Neodiprion lecontei: one gene and its partner. The protein of the gene in region 2 interacts with the protein of the main gene of each other region in a pairwise test. Links are inferred from orthologs where the notes say so. Each region holds a gene or a part of one and is shown on either strand. Other genes may lie near its edges.

Region 1 (10,085 bases), on a different chromosome or scaffold from region 2:
GGCGGTGGAGGGGCAGGGAAGGGGAAGAGGTGGGCGGGGAGGGGGAAGGGAAGGGAAGGGAAGGGAAGGGAAGGGAAGGGAAGGGGAGGGGAGGGGAGGGGAGGGGAGGGGAGGGCCGGGGGGAGGGGAGGGCCGGGGTGGGGGGGAGGGTGGGCGGGCGGGAGGGAGGGCGGGAGGGCGGGAGGGCGGGAGGGAGGGCGGGAGGGCGCGGGGGGGGGGGGGGGGGGGGGGGGGTGTACTGCTCTATTAACTCTAATGGGCTCGCATCGACATCCGTCCTCCTCTCCCCCCACCCTCCCTCCCTCCCGCCCGCCCTCCCTCCCTCCCGCCCTCCCTCCCTCCCTCCCTCCCGCCCTCCACCCCCCCCTCCCCTTCCCCTCCCCCCGGCCCACCCCTCCTCTTCCCGTCCCGTCCCTTCCCTTCCCTTCCCTTCCCTTCCCCCTCCCCGCCCACCTCTCCCCCTTCCCTGCCCCTCCCCCTCTCCTCCTCTGAGGAGAGGAGAGGTCCTCTCCCACGACCCACCCCGCCTCCTCCTCGTCCACCTGGTCCTCCTCCTCCTCGGCCACCTGGTCCTCCTCCTCGTCCAGCTCGTCCTCCTCCTCGTCCACCTCCGACCACCTCGGGTAATACCTGGAATAGTAATGAATATTTTTAGTATAGGAACACATCAAAAATATTGTGTAAGGATTAATGTAATTAATGAATTAATTAATAATATAATAGATTGTACAAGATTATTCATAGCCACTGAATATGTGCTTGCACGAAAAATGAATTGAAATAATTTATTGTAAACGTGACAAGTTTGTAATATTTCAGATGAAATATAATTACAATTGCCATTAAATATTATAGGAATATTAATTAATTAATTAATAATATAATAAATTGTATAAGATTATTCATAGCTACTGAATATGTGCTTGCACGAAAGATGAATTGAAGTAATTTATTGTAAACGTGACAAGTTTGTAATATTTCAGATGAAATATAATTACAATTGCCATTAAATATTATAGGAATATTAATTAATTAATTAATAATATAATAAATTGTATAAGATTATTCATAGCTACTGAATATGTGCTTGCACGAAAGATGAATTGAAATAATTTATTGTAAATGTGACAAGTTTGTAATATTTCAGATGAAATATAATTACAATTGCCATGAAATATTATAAAAGTGTTTTACTCACCCAGCACAAATCCTCGTCCTCCTCGTCCTTTTCCTCATCCACCTCAGACCACCTTCAACCACCTCGAACAACCACCGATAACCACCTCAGGTTATACCTTGAATAGGACTGACAGCTACCGAATTTGGGGTTGCGCGAAAAACGAATTGAAATAATTTATTGTAAACGTGAACCAGGAACCACGGAGCGCTTATCCTGGAAGTCGAGAAATTTTATTAGCGGACCGACAGCTACCGAATTTGGGGTTGCGCGAAAAACGAATTGAAATAATTTATTGTAAACGTGAACCAGGAACCACGGAGCGCTTATCCTGGAAGTCGAGAAATTTTATTAGCGGACTGACAGCTACCGAATTTGGGGTTGCGCGAAAAACGAATTGAAATAATTTATTGTAAATGTGAACCAGGAACCACGGAGCGCTTATCCTGGAAGTCGAGAAATTTTATTACCGGACTGACAGCTACCGAATTTGGGGTTGCGCGAAAAACGAATTGAAATAATTTATTGTAAACGTGAACCAGGAACCACGGAGCGCTTATCCTGGAAGTCGAGAAATTTTATTACCGGACTGACAGCTACCGAATTTGGGGTTGCGCGAAAAACGAATTGAAATAATTTATTGTAAACGTGAACCAGGAACCACGGAGCGCTTATCCTGGAAGTCGAGAAATTTTATTAGCGGACTGACAGCTACCGAATTTGGGTTTGCGCGAAAAACGAATTGAAATAATTTATTGTAGACGTGAACCAGGAACCACGGAGCGCTTATCCTGGAAGTCGAGAAATTTTATTAGCGGACTGAGAGCTACCGAATTTGGGGTTGCGCGAAAAACGAATTGAAATAATTTATTGTAAACGTGAACCAGGAACCACGGAGCGCTTATCCTGGAAGTCGAGAAATTTTATTAGCGGACTGACAGCTACCGAATTTGGGGTTGCGCGAAAAACGAATTGAAATAATTTATTGTAAACGTGAACCAGGAACCACGGAGCGCTTATCCTGGAAGTCGAGAAATTTTATTAGCGGACTGACAGCTACCGAATTTGGGGTTGCGCGAAAAACGAATTGAAATAATTTATTGTAAACGTGAACCAGGAACCACGGAGCGCTTATCCTGGAAGTCGAGAAATTTTATTAGCGGACTGAGAGCTACCGAATTTGGGGTTGCGCGAAAAACGAATTGAAATAATTTATTGTAAACGTGAACCAGGAACCACGGAGCGCTTATCCTGGAAGTCGAGAAATTTTATTAGCGGACTGACAGCTACCAAATTTGGGGTTGCGCGAAAAACGAATTGAAATAATTTATTGTAAACGTGAACCAGGAACCACGGAGCGCTTATCCTGGAAGTTGAGAAATTTTATTAGCGGACTGACAGCTACCGAATTTGGGTTTGCGCGAAAAACGAATTGAAATAATTTATTGTAAACGTGAACCAGGAACCACGGAGCGCTTATCCTGGAAGTCGAGAAATTTTATTAGCGGACTGACAGCTACCGAATTTGGGGTTGCGCGAAAAACGAATTGAAATAATTTATTGTAAACGTGAACCAGGAACCACGGAGCGCTTATCCTGGAAGTCGAGAAATTTTATTAGCGGACTGACAGCTACCGAATTTGGGGTTGCGCGAAAAACGAATTGAAATAATTTATTGTAAACGTGAACCAGGAACCACGGAGCGCTTATCCTGGAAGTCGAGAAATTTTATTAGCGGACTGACAGCTACCGAATTTGGGGTTGCGCGAAAAACGAATTGAAATAATTTATTGTAAACGTGAACCAGGAACCACGGAGCGCTTATCCTGGAAGTCGAGAAATTTTATTAGCGGACTGACAGCTACCGAATTTGGGGTTGCGCGAAAAACGAATTGAAATAATTTATTGTAAACGTGAACCAGGAACCACGGAGCGCTTATCCTGGAAGTCGAGAAATTTTATTAGCGGACTGACAGCTACTGAATATGGGCTTGCGCGAAAAACGAATTGAAATAATTTATTGTAAACGTGAATCAGGAACCACGGAGCGCTTATCCTGGAAGTCGAGTTTCACCGCGTAGCGGACCCGAAGCGCGGGATCCGGGAGGTTGAGAACCCGGTACTCGAAATACGTAGCGGACCCGAAGCGCGGGATCCGTGAGGTTGAGAACCCGGTACTCGAAATTTGCGGAGCGCGACTCTCATGCGTCCGCTCTACTGCGCGGTTGTTTCCCGACTGAGGAATTCGGCTAGCTGATTTTGAATTGGTGACGTCACTTTCTGAACGTCCGACATCCAAACTATGGTTTCGAACTTTGATACTGTGTATGATGATGTATGATGTACGATGTATGATGTATGATGTATGATGATATGATATGATGTATAATGACTTTAGCTTTCACATTTCATACAAGAAATACACAATTTATCTCTCCTGCCGATTCCAGACTCAACCGGCCAGGCCCTTCGATGGTCAGCCGTTGACTGAAGATATATCCTTCAGTTAACGGGTCGGCTAATAACGCTGCCGTTCTGCGACAGTTGAATGATGAACAAAGTAGTAATAACAGTTATCATAGGCAGGGTAAATGCATTGCATCACGAATATAGCCTTTTCATTACCCATCATCAACGCCATCATTGTGTGGCATATTTGAATTATGCGCAGCTAGATATTATTCTACACGATCTAATGACGTTACTACGGCGAGCCAGTGGCGAACCCGCGGACCATGGAGACTAGACAGAGAGAAGGTTTCTCTTTGGACTAGAGCCGCGGACGTAACACTTTCGATATCACAGCGCTGCATGTGGCAGAAATCCGAACTCTCGATATAGCGAGCGATGATTCACGGTAAAGAACGCGCGAATGGTGGCCTTCTTTTTCCGGTGACAAGTCCGACACGAAGTACCGAAGTACGTCTGATTTTCTAACAAATCCACAGATATCTCGTGCATCCGCAATATTTAACGTGCAATCATAGTCTTAATATATTATTAGTTTACCCACGAGCCATAAAAACCTCGTAGTCGTAATTTCACGCAGTCAGATGCGATATAATTTACGTGAATCTAGTGTTGTGAGCTGTGTTGAAGAATGTCCATGTCGGATGTATCTTGTATTCGCCACGCAATTGTCGCGTGGATATTCAAATTTAATTCGTCCAATTGAATCTCATATGGCTCGAGAAAAATGTGTTATCTTGTTATTTTGACAGAAAAAATTTCAAACTTGACGCATATAATCATCAAGCGAATTCTTGTTTTAAACCCAATTGATCGTGACATGTTGCAACTTGGCTTAACCTAACCCAATACAACCTAACCTAGAGCTGCAATAAATTATGATATTGAAATAGATACTCTTTTCGATGATTTACAGAATGTTGATGCCCAAGAAAAATCGTGTCGCCATTTACGAGTACCTCTTCAAGGAGGGAGTAATGGTGGCTAAAAAGGATTATCACGCACCCAAGCATCCCGAACTTGAGACCATACCCAATTTGCAGGTTATCAAAGCTATGCAGGTAATGGAAGTAAACGTCACGAAATTTCGCTGGCCCCTTGTCAATTATTCTGCTGGCGGACAGTGTTGATCCACACAACCAATTGGCAGATTCACTGTGTAGTGCGAATACAAACGTCAAGATAAAATAAGTTGACTATTTGACGACATGAGAAGTAGCGTGATTTATCAAAAATGTATTATCATTAAATGGTATATCAGTTGAGTCATATTTTTTGGTTGGAATACCTGTAAGAGTGAGAATTCCCGAAACCAGGTAGCATACGTACTCTCGGAGTGTACCTGCTCTGAAAAACAAAACATTTGATTTTGATAGTTCCATTGTTTACAGAAATATCATTGTAAAGCTGTGCATCATTAACTTGCTCTATAACATACCACGTACACTGGCATGCATTTGTGTTTTCAAGTCTCTTGCTAATTTGCTGAAAATTACTCATATTTTTTTAACTGGTAAAAAAAAATTAGGAAATTGCTACATTTAGCATATCTAAAGTGTGGCATGTAGCGACATGGGAAGACGCAGAGACGTGTGAAAAAATGCTCTTTATTATTATGACTTCATACAAAATAACTTTTTTAGAATACCAATGCTTATGTCATTATACCATTATGTATCGTATGATTATGATTTCAGTCCTTGAAGTCACGAGGTTTTGTCAACGAGCAGTTTGCTTGGAGACACTTCTACTGGTACCTGACGAACGAGGGCATCGAATACCTGCGAGCCTATCTCCATCTCCCTCCAGAAATTGTTCCTGCGACATTGAAGAGGCAAGTCAGACCTGAAACCGCGAGGCCTAGGCCCGCTGCTGGCCCTAGGAGCGAAGGTTCGCGTCCAGCCGAAGACCGTGCCGGTTATCGCCGAGGTCCTGGCGGACCGCCAGCACCTGGTGATAAAAAGGCTGATGTTGGCGCTGGCACTGGTGATCTCGAATTCCGGGGAGGATTTGGGCGCGGAAAAGCTCCACAATAAATAAGCTTCGTTTATTACATAAAATGCTACAAAATCTGTATAACCGTGAATAAAGTATTACTCGGTGCATACCCATTTCTTTAGTTTTCCCTGTGTTTATTCAAAACAGTCGTACCAGTGGCTATTATTTTTTATCTTTTGACAGAATTTTTATAGTAGGAAGTAACTGTGATTAGTGCAGAGGTTTCATATTTTTCAAGAGAGTGAGTATATTTTGACTTGATGAAATCATGCATTATCATTTTACAATGAGTGACTTTTACACTGTTAGTATATGACAAAAATCTAGTGTTTCAATTTCCTGATCTTGTTGCATTATTTGTCTACGAATTTTAAAAATAACAATTGCGCTCCGCCGATAATTTTTGATTAGTGTTCAAGTTACTACAGAAGTTTGCGCTGTTATAAACTGATTTTAGGTGACTATATATCAAATAAAACTGCTAAAAGAAATCTTTCAGAGGGTTCTATTATCACAATGCGTATAGATCAGTCTATGTGGGAAATCCCGATTTTCGTTTCTAGTGAAATCACAAACTTGCGTTACGGCAGGCTGAGACAGATGTACGGGGTACGTTATTTAAATAGCGCCGAATATTTTTAATTCTATTGTTTATTCAAAGATATAAAATACAAGATTCACGTTCTGTAGTTAATCTGAGTTTCTTTTCTGTTGTTGTGCCAATCTATTCTAAGTAAAGACACAAAATTGATTTGAAACTGACGACAAATCAGGTTCACTTCTCCAAGTCATAAGAGAGGATTCATAATACAAACATCCCTTGTATCTCACAATTGTCTCCAAACAAGTCACTCATGTGAATTTTAACGGGAGGCCTGCCATGCGGTTTCAAAAGCTTTGGCAGTATGTTCGCAGGCTTTCTCCAGATCTTCTAAACCCTTCCTCAATATATCAACGGCACGACCAGACTTTGCCTGTATCCTGAAGTGCATCTTAGTCTCTGCAGGATGGGGCACCGTATAACCACAGAATTGAACATCTGGACTACAAATGGATTAGAATACGTTGTAATTAAATCGTTTTGGACTCGATATTCATAATAAACATTCATGAATACAGAGATGTATAAAGGGTAAATTAGGACAAGAAATTGAAATAATATCAATACTGAAAAAAGTGAAACAAAGAATAAAACTAGCGACGGAAAAATTTTTACTATTGAGCAATAATTGATCGAAGAGCATTTCCCAAAGTATGACCCTCGTCCTGGAATACAAAAGTTCGTGATTTTTCTCCAGACTCCCCATCTCCGGCAAGCTGCAAGTAGAAAATATTAAACTATTAACGATATTGTTCCCCAACACAATGGTTATGGAAAATAACACTGGTTCTACTCGTATGTAAGAGTAACTACAAAAGAGTATCACTCTTCACACGAAATCTAACAATCTATGAACTGTCTACGCGGGCAGTCTTCTTTTGACCACATGTGTGTGTACTCACTTCTGGTAACTATCTGCTCGACAAGTGCAATACGAGTTTATTCCATGCAACGCTTTATCACATCGTACTCGAATTAATCGTGAATTTATTTTTATCGTGCCTATTCCCAGGGCACTGACTTGATTTGCATGCAATTCGTAAGATCGTAAGCGAATCACGCAGTTACGCGAGAAATGTTAGAACAAGTTCGCCCTGCATTCTAGCCTGCAGGTTTTATTAACTTTCGGAGAGAAAACTTCCACGAAAATCGACCAATTTAAATAAATGCTTACTGAACGCTTTTCATGCCCAGCAGCGCTAAGAAGCGTTATATACAGAAATATGTTCAAGGAATAGAATCACTTTACAGTTTCAGTGACGTTGAAGGTCGCTATGTAAATCCAGCAATCGGTAAACTGTTTTAGAAAATGCTATTCATATTACCTCTGCTAAACGTCCCATCTGAAAACAGATTACGAGGTTAATCTTTCAATGATTCTTGTGAGGAAATATGTCACTAATCTACCTTCATTCAATAGGAAATAAATGTAAACGCGATTATAAAAATTTTCTCTTTTGCATTTTATAGGTTACCAGCACCGTTGTCTTGCGCTTCTTATAGGTATACCCGTTGACAGTTGACGCGTGAACGTTGCTGCTGCTACATGATTGCGATGCTATGTTCAGGATAGTCACATTCAAATAATTCTGCCGGAACGTTCGAACGCGTTCGGCACATGCTTGCGTTTCGAAATTCGAAAAATACTGAACAAACAATCAATCCTTATTGCCAAATACGTAACTTTTTCAAAAAAAAATTTAACACGGAGAATAAAGAAGTAGGATGGAAATGAAAAATCATGTTTAAATAATTAATTACATGAAATGAAAAAACGTGTAAATTAAAGAGTTCGCTGTCCTCAGACATCTGACGAAATCTATTTGATCAGAGGATTTATATCTTGCAATACATTTGAAAATTTTTCGTCCACGGCGCAACGGATAATTTTTACCACCGAATGCCCTATTTAGACTATACGCTGTATATCTCGTCAGGTCTTTGTCCTTTGCAGTCTGATAATTGCTAGTTCGAAAGCCAGCTTTTAAGTTAGCGAGCAATCATCAAAATTGCAGGCAACTGTGATTCATCTTTGAAACTACTGAAATTTTACAATACGTTTAGGATAAGGATTTGTTCTACGCAAATTCAAATGCCCATGAAATATATATTATATTTATTTTACCAACATTATAGCATAAATGTATGTTCGACGAGATAGGCGTTAGTCAAAAGTACAGTACTCATCATTGAATACGGTGAGCATTGTTGTTTGGTGATATACAAGGACCAGCAATTCCCATGTTACGCAGTAGTTTCAGAATCGTTTGTTCGACATTGGCTGGTTATATAAATAAACCCATTTTTCGCTCGATGTCATATCTGCGCGATGAGCTTTATTCAATTTCTTGTGAAGTCTATACTTTTGAAAAACACTGACTGATCGGAATTGAAAGCACTCTGCACATTTCTACGCACTATCATAAAATATAGCACATTGTTATATTGCTTTTTCTGATGCTATTTTTTTTTTTTTATCGAAATGCAGTATAAACTCCCCGCATTCGTAACTGACTCGCACCTATTTGCTCCTTTTCAATCCCCATATTTTCGGTCATCGATATCAATTAAAATTATTTCAAATGTTTGTACGATTATACTCGTTTCTCAGACATCAATAGATATCATATTTATGTGGTTCATGTAGAAGAAATCCACAAAATCTGTCCACAAAATTTAACTTTTTAGAGTTTAAAAGAAAACATTTCAAAATCATTTTTTCATCAAACGTAGGTTGTATAAACAACTTGAAAACATGTAATTAAATGACAAAATTTACCACATTGGACTGTTTTTAATATTTTCTTTCTGGACACAATTCGACTGACGACAAAACGAGTGGCTGTATGAATAATCTTGATCGTAATTCGTACTATTTTTACTCTGACCAATTATTGTTTTTTTGAAAGAGTCAATGGTATTTGCTTATGTTGATTGCCCAGGCAAAATAGTTCAATAGGCGTGAGTAAATTAATTGTCTTCGTTATTAAGGAAAAATGATTTTTCTCGGTATTAATTCAATGTTGAAAAATATTAAATGATCACAAACAGGAAATAACAGACTTGTATGTAGCCATAACTGTATTTATAGACTTGTACGCATTAACAAAGAATGACTGCATTTAAGTAGGAATTTATACTTTAAACAATCTGACATAAACTGAATGTAGATAACACTCTAAAGCATGTATTCAAAGTTGTTAACATGTATGTATAGAATATACATATAAATCACATCAGAATATTGATTACATATTTTTACAATTTCCCCAAAACATAGCTGAACGGGTGACGTAATCACGCGAGTGTTATTTATCTCATCAACAGACTGTTTAATTATTTCATCACTAATTCGCACAACAAAAAAAATCGATCAAAATATAAAACAATCATGCGCAATATTATAAAGTTTATCGATGAGATATTTGCAAAAAAGACAAATCGAATTTTCGTGGTTAATCAAGTGTATCGTGTTTGTTGCAAGCAGCAACAAATATTGTCTGACGTGGCACTATAAGTGAATATCTTTGTATAGCACAGGTATACATAAAACTAATAATCGACGTGTGATATTCGTTTTTTTAGGATAATGCAATATTATATATATCTGGCAACAATAGTTATATTACATATTATGTTTGGTAAATAGTAAATTAACTCACCTAGATTCAAACTCGTAAAATATTGACCACAACTTTTACAAATCATATAGTAAAAATATAAATGTTGGTAAATATCTAAATTTCGTACAATATACATTTTCATGTTTCGCTTAACAAAGACTGTTATAACAAAGGAACAACTATATAATATCGTTTATCACTATTAAAAAAGTCCAGT
Region 2 (12,068 bases):
GGAATAAAAGTAAAAAGTAACGATTATCGTTTAAAAAAGATTAAGTAAAATAATAACATAATCATATATTATACCGCGTGTACGGCGAAAAACATTCGAGCTTTGATTAGTAAATACGTACGTATAAATACATACAATTCATCGTTCATAAGGTAATTTTAATGAATTTAGAAATGAGAACTAACATTGTTTATAATAAAAAAAAAAAAAAAAGAAATATTACAGCATAGTTCTGAAATTTTCGTGACTATTTGACTGGTTTTTGTTTTTTTTTTTGTTTTTCTCTCTTTTTCCAACCATAATCATTGTGTAATTTATGTACAATGTATCTGCGTATTGTATACATGTGATAAATCAATATGGGGTAGCACAGTGAGTGGTGATAAAATGTTGACATGTATTATTGTATTATGCATAAGCGGTATGTTCGAAATTTCAAGGGCTACTTTTTCCTGATATTGCGTGTACCACAAAGGTATATGGGGGATTCCACGTTAAATCGTACGAAAAAACGAGATTCCTTCGACTTGACGACTTCGGATGTTTTCGCCCTTTTACTCGCCTGAAGTTCGTATTTAATTCATCAAATCTGAATTTTTTCAGACTTTCCTGACCAAGCATTTTTTTACCACAGCTAGTCGAAAAACCGGCTTTCGACGATATTTCATTTCTTCAAGTTACCGTAGCTTGAAATTCAGATAACATATGGAAAAAGTTCCTATACAAAAGTTTCGCATCTCTGTATGAAATTTGTAAAAATAATTTTGTCCGATTTTTCGTGCCCCGTTAAAGTATAGTTTTCGTGAGAAAATCTTGGTAAATCTTTGGCAACAAAATAGTGCCGGAATCGAATTGGCTGAAATTTTTACACGGCATGTCTTCTCCAATACCAAAGATTGTCTATAAGTTTCGTAGTGGGTGGTAAAGTAGTTCAAAAGTTACAAGGCAATGGTTTACATGCAACTTGGAAATTTCTCGTTCATACGTACTATGTGGCGATACGAACGGTGAAAGTTATACAGTCGGTATTACGATTCGCAACACGCCGTTGAATTCTTACCTTGGATGAATATGCTTCGATAATATTGTCCGGCGTACGGAACTCGCGTATCATGACGGAAATCGTGATAAATGATTGACTGAACCATACTCCTCGAGAAAAAGTCGACAATCGAGATTATAAACAACAGGCGTAACAACTGACGATCGCGCTCGAGTGCGCAGCGGCGCAACGCGCAGGGTGAGCAGATTGCTTGCCGCGCCGCGAAGTTTGAATCGAATTCTCGCCACTGTGTGAATATTTGTTGATATGTCTTCTGAACCACTACAACGCCCATTATCAAGTTTTCAGACAACCTTTCGCATTAAAAAAAGCACGCCGTGTATAAATTGTAGCCCATTCGATTAGGGCAATTTTCAGTTACGAATAATTTGCGCGCATTTTGTATCAAAACTACAATGAAACGGGGTATGAAAAATACGGAAAAAATACTCTCGAGCGGTTCGTGAGAGAACCGAAAATTTTTGGGAAGGAACTTTTTCATATGTCGTCCAAGTTTTTAGCTACGAGAATTCCAGACATTGTTGAAATCAATTTGTTGGATGAGTTGTCGTAAAGAATTCATGGGTTGAAAAAATTCAAAGATCATCCTTTCGATATGCAGTTTTACTGTGTGAAAGGGCAATCAGGTTAAAGTGGGTCGGGGAAACCGACCGTTCGACTTGACGTGGAATACCCCATATACGTATATATTTTATATGCGTAAATAGTAACCTAGCACTTGAAATACAAACGAATCGTTGGAACAAATTCAAATTGGCAATTAAAAATGTTACGAAACATATTTCAGAAGCAAGCGTATTCTACCCTCACGGAAAAAAAACCCAAATTGGGTGTAAATTCGTACCCCTAACTTTTTTCTTATGGGACATTAGCATTGTCTATGAGTTTTTGGTACGAATTTACACCCAAGTGGGGTTTTTTCCCATGATGGTACGTTTCATTCTCAATTCGTAAGGGCCTCACGTTACTTGAATGATTACATTCAATGTATAAAATTCTATCCAAATGGTTCGGGATAAAAAACTTCATCTTGCAATTAGTTACACACATGAAGAGTGCCTCAACCGTGAGACACCTTTTATATTATGGTAAGTTCTTGTGATTCCATCAAGTGTCTCCCTTAATTCACGGCGTTCTGCCACTTCTTTCTTTTGTCAACTAATTTGTCTTAACTCGGGGGAAAAGTTTATTCATACGATTCCCTTGTCACGCTCCGACTTGATTATTGTAGATCAATGTCCACGCGAATTTCGGTTATTATTTTTTACCTATGCTGTTCGCTCAAAATGTGCCAAAAATTGTCAACATACCAGTGTGAAGAAATTTGTCATGATATTCATTCTTAAATTCAATGAATGTATCTAGATAATGAAGAAAATAACCGAGGTCTTCCTTTGTTCTATAGGATGCTTTTCTCAAATGCAGAAACGATCTCTGCTGGTATGCTTCCTTGCGATTTATTGAATAATATTAGATATATATCTCATCTGTTCATTGGCATATTATTATAAGATGTATTGAGTGAAAGAAAAAAAAAAAAAAATCTACGACAAAATGAAACCTGATAATAAATAGGAAAAACCGAAATGCCGCTGGACACGGTTTAAAAATATTAATAAATATTATACTTACGTGTCGCACAACATGAATGTTGTGAAAATTGAATTTTATACGTGTGCGTAATTTACATGTGTGTGTAATTTATAATCCATTAATGTACGAGTAAATATTAAAATGTAATTTCTATATACAATATACTACGAGAAATTGGATTAGACATCTGATTTAGAAAAACAACAAACGAAAATTTGGCCCCATGTGACTGAAATTTGAATTTTCGGTAAACAGTGTAAGGTGCATGATGCATATCAATAAACAATTTTACTAGGTGATGGAATTAATTCGTAGCGTTTTTTTATTTCTTGAAAACAAATTTATAAAATCCTACGAATTAATTCCAGCACCTAATAATAAATTTATATATACATGCGTGTGTATATGTATATGTATGCAATATATGCGTGTGTAACGAATATTCGTATTGAAGGAAATTCGTTAAAGGAAGAAATCTTTTTCTACCGCGATTGTGTTGCAATTTGAAAGTAATATTTTTGACTCGCTGTAAGAGCGAATTAAATATTATTCATAGCAATCGGAATAGTGTCATAAGTTTCGACGATTCCGTTTATTTTAATGTGCAAGTGTACCGCAACACGTAATTTTTTTCCCCGCAATGAATCCCTACAATATCAAAATTCTACACCGTTTAGAAATAATTCGCTTATATCCACCAGTATGATAATATTGCCATAGATTGTTCGTTGTGAAAAAACGTAAAAATATATGACGTCATAAGAAAGAATCAACTTGTTATTTTGTTACCGTTCATTGCTTCTCTTAAACCGATTATACTTGATGCTGGAAAAAAAAAAAAATATACGGAACTGTGTATAATAAGAAAATGCTTGATATCGACAGAAAAAAATAGATTTTCATACACACCACACAATCATGATGTATAATCTACCTACATATGTATTTCCGTCTTCACTTTTATAATAAAAAAAAAAAAAAAAAAAACTGACATTACTTTAAATATAACAAATAGAAAATTTTATACCGCGTTCACAAATTCGTGTACACAATAAACGTTCCATCGCAATGTAAACAAGAATTCTTATCGTAAAATGTACATAGGTATAACAATAATATCAATTATTATTAAAAACAATAAGTTTAATCCTTCAGCTTTTTCAACGCGTCCATCAAAAGTTGAACTTCCTGATTAACGTTCGTGACTAAATCTTCGATTTGGTGTTTGCTGTCGATGATGTTAACACTTTGCGTGTACGGATCGTATCTGACGCCAAATTTCCTCGGAATCGTTTGGGCGAATTTTCTGTAAATTGAATTGAGAAAAATCAATGAATTTTGAATTACACGGATTTCATGCATCGAACTCGGCGAACGTTTCGTACCAAAAAACAAGCTCAGCCATCTCGAATCATGAACCTATACCTACAATATAGTCAGACGAGATGACGCTATCGCGAATCACTGGCGTCTCTGAAAATTTGCGCAACTTTCTCATAATGTGTAACAATTATTTCGAAAGTATTGCGTTAAATCAGTGCTCGCAAGAAATCTTGCAACATCACATGTGACATAATGTGTATACTGGTAAAAAAAAAAAACAACAAGCGTATCGTCTTGTTTAATACCAGCCAAGCTATTTTCAATTCGATCACGATCGAACCACGTCAAGCTAAAGATAACGAAGCGCAAACAAACATGACCGAACGAGGTGAGTAAAAAATGAAAAGAAAGCAGATTGAGACATCGGTACTCGTCGTCAGGGATCGCGGATACTGGAAGAGTTACTTACATCATCTTTTCCTTCGCGTCCTCGAAATCCTCGGCGACGAAGTAGACCGGCTGATATTCGGTTATTGGGTATTTCTGAAGCGCCGTTTTTGCCGGATCGAATGGTCTCAGCTCCGGCTTGTCGCTCAGGCTGTATTCCAGCTCACCGTAGGACGACAAAAGCCCGGCACCGTAAGCCTTCAGTTCTCCGTTTTGTCTACAGAGGCCGAATTCAACGGTGAACCAAAAGCACTGGGGAAAAAAGTAAATACATATACATATAACGTATAACACGGTTGATGGAACGGATGGCTTTTGACATTCGGTTAGAACTGCGCGATGGTTTTGCGATTCGTCTTACTTCCATTCCATTTCCAATTCGGTATTTTTGCGTATAACGCTTGATTTATCATATAATAGCTAAAGACCCCCACTCACGGTGGCGAGCTTCTCGATGTACTCGTCCGGAGCTCCGAGGGAGGCGAGCCCGATGACCTGAGAGAACTGCGCGAATGCCGGGTCTGCGAAAAGTGGAACATGGCCAAGGACCTCGTGGCAAACGTCGGGTTCCGGGGTGTAGAGAGGTTTGCTGCTGTGCCTGATGTACTGGGTGCTGTGAAAGACTCGGAAGGCCAAGCCGGCGAGGAAGTCGCGCGACGAAAGAAGACCGGCGACTGGACGAAGCGTGAACCCCGTGCAATCTGGAAGCGGACGATAAAGGTCAGAGACGGTTGCAGGGGATGTTGAGGAGGGAGGTAATTGGGTGCGCATGAGCATGAGAGAAATTTTTTGGTCCGGTTACCGCTCGGTCCTTAACTATCTTCATTCTTTACCACAATCGAAAAATATAGTTCTAGGTGGAAAATGAAAATTAGTTTTATAGCTGTTGCCGGAAAGTCTAGTATCCGTTACCATTCTTTCTCATTACGATCACTCTTGCTATATTTTCTTGCAACCGTTGCGAAAATTTAATGCTCGTGCAAGAATAAATTGACGTTAAAGCCTTGTTTAACCAAAAAAGTAGACTAAACCTAACAAACTGATTTTGCCTTGCAATCACCAAAAAAGGATCGACGATAGCGCAAAGTGCTTAGGCGTACCTCGTTTTTCCTAATTCCAACAATATTCAAACAGTTTTTCTAACGATACCTGTTTTACTGAAGTTTTCTTGCTACTGTAACAAATGAAATATTTCTCAGTTCACCTTTTAGGAAATTCGAGATATCCTCAAGCTGCGGAATGTTGTCCTCCCTGTAGCCGCAGTTCTCTATAAGCAGCGGAAACACGTGATTGTGTTCCCTGCAGGCGTACTTCGGGTACATCGACGTCAGTTTCCTGAATACGACACCCCACGTGGCGGTTTCTGCGGGAGTGTAATCGACCCGTGGAATGGGCTCTCCACTGCGAATCATTCGGAAGAATTCGAGTCAGTACCTCTTCAGGGTTAAATAGACGAATCATTGAATGCTCGAGAAATGCCGGCATAGACGAGCAGTCGTTTTAAAATCAGAACTAAATTTTTTTTCGATCTCTCACTTCGTGAAATCATTTTTTTTAACGTAATATTAAACCTCGCGAATGGAAATTACCGCTTAATTTTTTTAAGCGGTTCCGTATCGAGATTTTGTATTCGCCGTTCAATTAACACGTGAGAAATCCAATTATGACGGTTGGAGGGAGACAATAATAATTGTTCTACATAATGGACGGAACTCTGTACGGTAGCGTTTGACAACTTGTACGTTCTCTTAGAATCGGCGCGTCGTAGAAAATTTTTAAAAATAGATACTATTTTATAGCTTGTTACTTTACTGGTGCCCGGTTTCCCACTGTACTCAACCATACTCCAATTTTCTCACAGACTTACTGTTTGTAGTGGTAGGCGATGTCGGCGAAGTACTTCCTCCTCGCTCTGTAAACCGTGTCTGTAAATCCGGGATGATCAGAGTCCAGTTCAGAACCGTAGGATAGAATCTGGTTCGCGAATCTGTCCAAGTCTCGTATCCTGCCGGGGAACCACGGAACGGTGCCCAGGTTGTCCTTGTGGTTCCTGAACAAAAATCGAAGGTTCTTTCGGAGCTTCAAACCACCGAACCACCTCTCGTCTCAAGTTGGCGGTAAGAGAAACGAACGATCGCCGAGGAGCGTTCATCGTCAGGTGGTATAAAAAATCAGAAATCCTGACCTGGATATTATAGAGAAGTATCCGCACTGGTCGCGCAGAGTTTCGATAACGGCAGCCAAGTCACCGCCAGGTGCGCACTCCACCATGAATTCATAGTTGTCGACGGTCCGAGCCGAGCTCCTTGACTCGATGTGGAGGAGGTTGACTTTGTGCTTCTGTAAACAGTGGGAAAGGGTACGATTTTACACTTGACGATGCAGACAAACCAGAGAACGATGCGTTTGCACCAATGGTCTACAAAACTCACTGCGAATAGTTTCAAGTAGCGTCCTAGACTCCCGACCTCGTCGTCTTCCCGGGGTGAGAATATCAGGCAAGTGCTTTTGGCCGAGTCTCTGCCTTCCTTGATGTAGTTTCCACCGTCCATGAGTTTCGGCTGTTGGATGAAAAAAAAAAAATTAAAGTCGTCAAGGGTTAACGAATGGTCGAATCCGGTGACACAAGTATTTTCAAATAACTCCAACACCGTCGCAAAGCTGATCTTACATCTGGGACCATTGGATTCGGTGTCATTTCGATGCTCGACGATAAATCGACCCGGGTTAGCGTTCGCTTCTCGATTCTCTCAACGCATTCACGCGCCTGCAGTGAGAAACAATCCATCCGGCAAGAGAGTCTCAAGTTTTATTATATACCGAAGGTGGAGTGGCCCCCACCACGTGGCACTAGGCGGAAAATTGGTTTACGAACAATCGTGGTTCAACTGCGCAAGATATGACTGGAGCAACAGGCAACGCCGATCATTATACCATGATTCAATCGAGTCGTCAATGGGTGGTCATTTCTGGAAATTACCAGCGTTCGTTTATGTCCTCAGGTGATGGCTTATGTGGTCGGTTCGCGTGTTGCTCTCCAGCTAATTTTTTCCCTCGCCTTTCGCTGCGCGCAAACTCAACCACATTCCGCGAATCCGATATCTCAATAGTTTGCGTTAATAATGAGCAAATATACTATCGAGAAACGATAAAAAAAAAACAACTGTAAGATGTCCGACGAGTCTACAATAATATTTGTCTCGTGATGTGCAATTTTTCTTTTTTTTTTTTCCTTTTCATCACCTTTAATCTTAACGCGCACCGATGAATCGTTCGAGATCTATGCTTGTCCAGATCAATAGACAACAAGATTTACGTCCAGGTGTTGCAGGTGTTACCGAACGCAAACTTGAGAGAAAAAAGTAAATGCACGACCTTGAGTCATTGCAGACGGCTGATGAAATTCGCGAATGAAATTGAGCCAGGCAGCAGATCGATGTATAAGTTTCTGTATAGCCTTCGCACTGAGAACTATCGGTGTGCAAAAAGTACGCAGACTTTTTGTAAGCGTAGGTACGTTATACGGACACTTGTGACGCGGTACCTGCCGTATATTTCCCGACGTATATTGCAAGATCTGGTGGGGAACGAACCATTCTTGGTTCACCGAAGAACCACGTCTAAAGTTACCGGAAATCGACAGACCGGAAGGTAAGTACCGACACCTGGTAATTTACAGGTTGAACTTCGAGGTTGAGATGGTTTCGAAAGTGTGCAGATTGTTCAGAGAAATGTGACGAGTGTGAACGGACTTTTTCAAACAATTATCCTGAGCTTTCGAAAGCGGAATTCTGACGTAACTCTTCGTTGGAATCCGGACGAAATGTAGGAAAAAGAAAAAGGAAGAAAATAAATGGATTTCGAAAGCGAATTTCTGCGAAGTTACAATATCACATAATATCGCTCAAGGATAGTGACGGTTAATGACACGCGTGATGTGTAACGGGGAAACGTTCAATGGATCATTTCCGTGAGTCGTGAAGGTCACCGGGATATCAGTGCGGTTCGAACTTTCCTCTGTATGGGGGATTCCACTTGAACCTGCTGATATATTGCAAGACTCGTCATCAGCATCGTGTTAACGACTTTCTTACTCGTCGTGTTAACGACTTTCTTACTCATCGTCTTCCGATCAAAGCGCTAAACGAAATAGTTGACATTCTGACTGATGAGAGAAATTTCGGGACTGAATACCTAGCCTGTGATTTATTGAACATTTACTGCAGCGTAAATTTCCATTTCGCCGTCTTTTTACACGGAGTTTAAACAGCGACGCGGTAACAATAGAGTTACCGATCAAATCACAGTTTGTAAGGCACCTATAACTCTCGTTTCTTTTATCTTCTCCCATCGTCGATGACTTTGAAATCTAGTAATGACAGGTTAAAAATAATAAAAATAAATAAAAAATCCGGAAGATAATTGTTTTTGCAAGCATCGTATCACTGGTCGAAATTTCATCATATTGTATAACAACAATTTTCAATGCCAATGAGCAAGAATTATCTGGCAATATCGAGCTGCACTTAAAAATTGATTACAGCCACGTACATCGACATGTATTATAATATATACGTACATGCGTACACATGTTGCACGGGCGGAATTAGAGGCGTGCCTTGTGACCTCAGTGGCTTGCGAGTTTAATTGAAATTGATAAAATTTTATCAATTTCAATTAATTAACCGACTTGTGATAAATATTGGCACTGACCCGTGGCTCATCACGTCATTTATAGAGGGCGAAAATATTTCACAACTATGTTTACATAAACGTATCACGGTATTAACGGTATACGATATTTCTTCAAAAGTCAATTTATAGACTCTGCCTTTCACAAGCGATATTATAACTACGCACGAGGCAATTAAAACGTAAATCAAACTTACGTTTGAAAACAATATGACGGCTCGTTAGACGCCATGCGGTTACTGTTTACTAATAATTGTGTGTTTGTCTTATGGATTAGGAAGACATTGTAACATGGCTATTTACCACGTTGTCCATTTCCTCGTCGCTGCAGCAGTGCGTCATTTTTGAATTCTGAACGAGAGTAGAATCCGATCAATTAATCCTTGAGATCTGATGATTGCGATCAAATTTCGCTGATCTCTGTTAGCCTTTTACAAGGAGCCTCGTTAGGTTGCCGAAAACTTCACGCGTTTCGAACGCACGTTGAAAACAGAAAGAAAAATGAAGATGAGTTTTCATTTATTACCTAGTTTTCTTTTTTTTTTTTTTTTATTCTAAGGCTAATGCTTCCTAATTTGTTGCACATATTTTATTAAAGAAAGCACCAAGTGGTAAGCTTACAATCGCTTTGAAATTCTCAGGAAATACGGTTATTTTTCACGGTGCCGTTTGGAGTTGTCACAATTTCTAAAATCAAAATGTCAAAATTTGACACTGAAAAGATAATATACAAAGTTAATTTTCATGTCTTTGTTTAAAAGTTAACTCAAGACACCGTCGACCCCGTTTCATTTATCCTCTTGCTCTTTTTTTTTTTATACGAACAAAGAACGCAGAGTTCAGAGTGTTCTATTTAAGTATTGATTTTCAAATATAAAACGAGAAAAATACGCGTCTCATTCAAATATTTTGAACTTTTATTTATCTTCGGACAGTAGATATAAAATGATAAATGAGATCTGAATGTCTTAATATACGTTTTAAATTTCATCACATTGTCAACATATAATCAAAATTTGTATAGGATGTAGTCATTAGAATTACTAACGAGGCACGGCTCCCGTTAAAACATCCTGAGAAATCGATTTTGAAAACTCACCACCCGATGTTATATCCTTTTTCACATAAAATCAACGAAAACTGCATTGAAACTTGAGCTTGTAGATCCGATCGTATTACATTCTACAGAATATTAATCATCTTCATTACTTTGCAATGAATCGCGATTTCACTTCATTCACCCTCAATGGTGGTCGTTCACTCGTTCCGCGGAGATTTAACAAACCTTTCGTGATTTTAAAACCGTGCAGTTCGCTAATTCATACGTGTTCGAAAAAAAGATCTTAGCTCGGCGAGCGTCGGAAACTTACTGGTATCGATATCCAGTTGAACTTCATTAGATATGCAAACCAGAGACAGGGTGGCTCGTTTTACATATGCCGACGGATTTCCCTACGGTTGAAAACTGCACTGGCACTCCTCGAAAACCTGACTTACAGAGCGTTCCAACCAAAGTGTTGCCCAGCAGTGGAAAAATTTAGTCTGCGGTCTCTGGTTTGGTCTGCTGATGCGGGTAAAACGATGTCGCACGTTAAACTGGGCGAGAGAATAGCAGTCAAAAAATATTCCCACCAGTGTTTTTATGGTAATCGAGCGGCGTGATAAGACGGGAAAATAGAAACGATGTTGAAACGAGGCTGCAAACTCGACTCAAACTAGTCACGAGAAAAAACTATCTTTTCAAGTATTTACGGAGCCGTAATTGAATACGCTGGGGAAAAATCAACATGGCCGCCATTGCCGCACCTGCGATTTAGTTTTGCACGTACGATTGTATTCCGTAGTCACAGGTTATCGGGTGCTTTTTTATGCCAAAACAAAGGATGGCAAGATCGATTCGATCACGATTTCAACTTTTGACGCGAGCTCAACAGCTGGGAAATTATGTTGAGAAAGTCACGATAGCGATGCATTCAGGGTACAAGGATTGCCATTGTGGTCGAGGATAGTGTCGCTTCAAACTGAATTTACCTTCGTCTCGACAGAGTTCTTTTGCTTCGTTTTTCCTTTTATAGCTGGGCAACTTTGTCGTTTTGGTCTTTTACTCTCCAATATAACCTGCTCTTAACTTCTGGTTTGCCTTGTATCTTGCTGCATTATATGCGTATGCTGTTATGTGTATAATATGTCGATACCTACGCAGTGTTCGCAGACTGCAGTGGCGTATTTTTTCCGCACATTTTCAAGCTAGCAGAGAACGTTGTTCGGAAAAATATTTTCGCACCCTTCATTCTTGCCTCGCGTCTGATATATAATATGGCACAAACGCAATTTTACTAAAAAAGTGGGTGAAATTCTACGTGAAAATCACGAGAACGACGGATTTTTATGCGTCACTGTGACATGTTAACGGTAATTAAACAGTCCGAGTTGTAGCTGTATGTATAACGTATGCGTAAGTACGTAAACTCATTATTAGGCAATCAATACGAGGTTGAAATTGTTATATCCCGTCATCGTTATGCCACAGTGAAATACCTACCTGGAGATATTTTACCGTAAATTTTATTTCTCACTGCAGTTCGATTCTGATTTCCAAAAAATGCAAATTGAACAAAAGTGATATCAGGTCCTGTGCAGATTTTATCAGCATTTCGCGAAGAATACTTCATTTTCTCAATTTCGAATGCAAAAAGTATTTTCAAATCCATATTTCTGTACACTGTTCCGAAATTGATCATAAACACGATATAGAAATGAATAATAGAAATTTTGCACCCACCTTGTCAGGAGGGGAACCCTTGCCTACAGAATCTCGATATTGCTGCATGTCCGATGAATTTCTGGCGATTTGCGTACCGATCATATTAACGACAAGTGAAGGAAGGAAGTTTAAGGATTACCTTTTGCAGATATCGAACCACTGCTAGTGCAAACGGCGAAAAGTGCC

The links. The genes of interacting proteins can lie anywhere in the genome.
Region 1: the proteins of protein henna (region 2) and 40S ribosomal protein S10 interact in a two-hybrid assay, tested with the Caenorhabditis elegans proteins (2 studies listed by BioGRID). The link is inferred for Neodiprion lecontei from reciprocal best matches to the Caenorhabditis elegans genes pah-1 and rps-10.

The regions. Positions count from the first base shown.
Region 1 is NC_060265.1:4,254,740-4,264,824, reverse strand, and holds 40S ribosomal protein S10, read left to right. Parts: upstream 1-3,940; 5' UTR 3,941-4,096; intron 4,097-4,562; 5' UTR 4,563-4,563; coding exon 4,564-4,707; intron 4,708-5,343; coding exon 5,344-5,682; 3' UTR 5,683-5,753; downstream 5,754-10,085. Other genes in the region: probable DNA-directed RNA polymerases I and III subunit RPAC2, read right to left, coding at 6,508-6,688, 6,861-6,961, 7,571-7,588, 7,653-7,658.
Region 2 is NC_060261.1:7,915,141-7,927,208, reverse strand, and holds protein henna, read right to left. Parts: upstream 7,259-12,068; 5' UTR 7,215-7,258; coding exon 7,098-7,214; intron 6,988-7,097; coding exon 6,859-6,987; intron 6,767-6,858; coding exon 6,612-6,766; intron 6,477-6,611; coding exon 6,294-6,476; intron 5,828-6,293; coding exon 5,631-5,827; intron 5,128-5,630; coding exon 4,865-5,127; intron 4,679-4,864; coding exon 4,449-4,678; intron 3,963-4,448; coding exon 3,800-3,962; 3' UTR 3,535-3,799; downstream 1-3,534. UniProt on the Caenorhabditis elegans protein: Catalyzes the hydroxylation of L-phenylalanine to L-tyrosine. Catalyzes the hydroxylation of tryptophan to 5-hydroxy-L-tryptophan. Plays a role in the biosynthesis of a melanin-like cuticle pigment.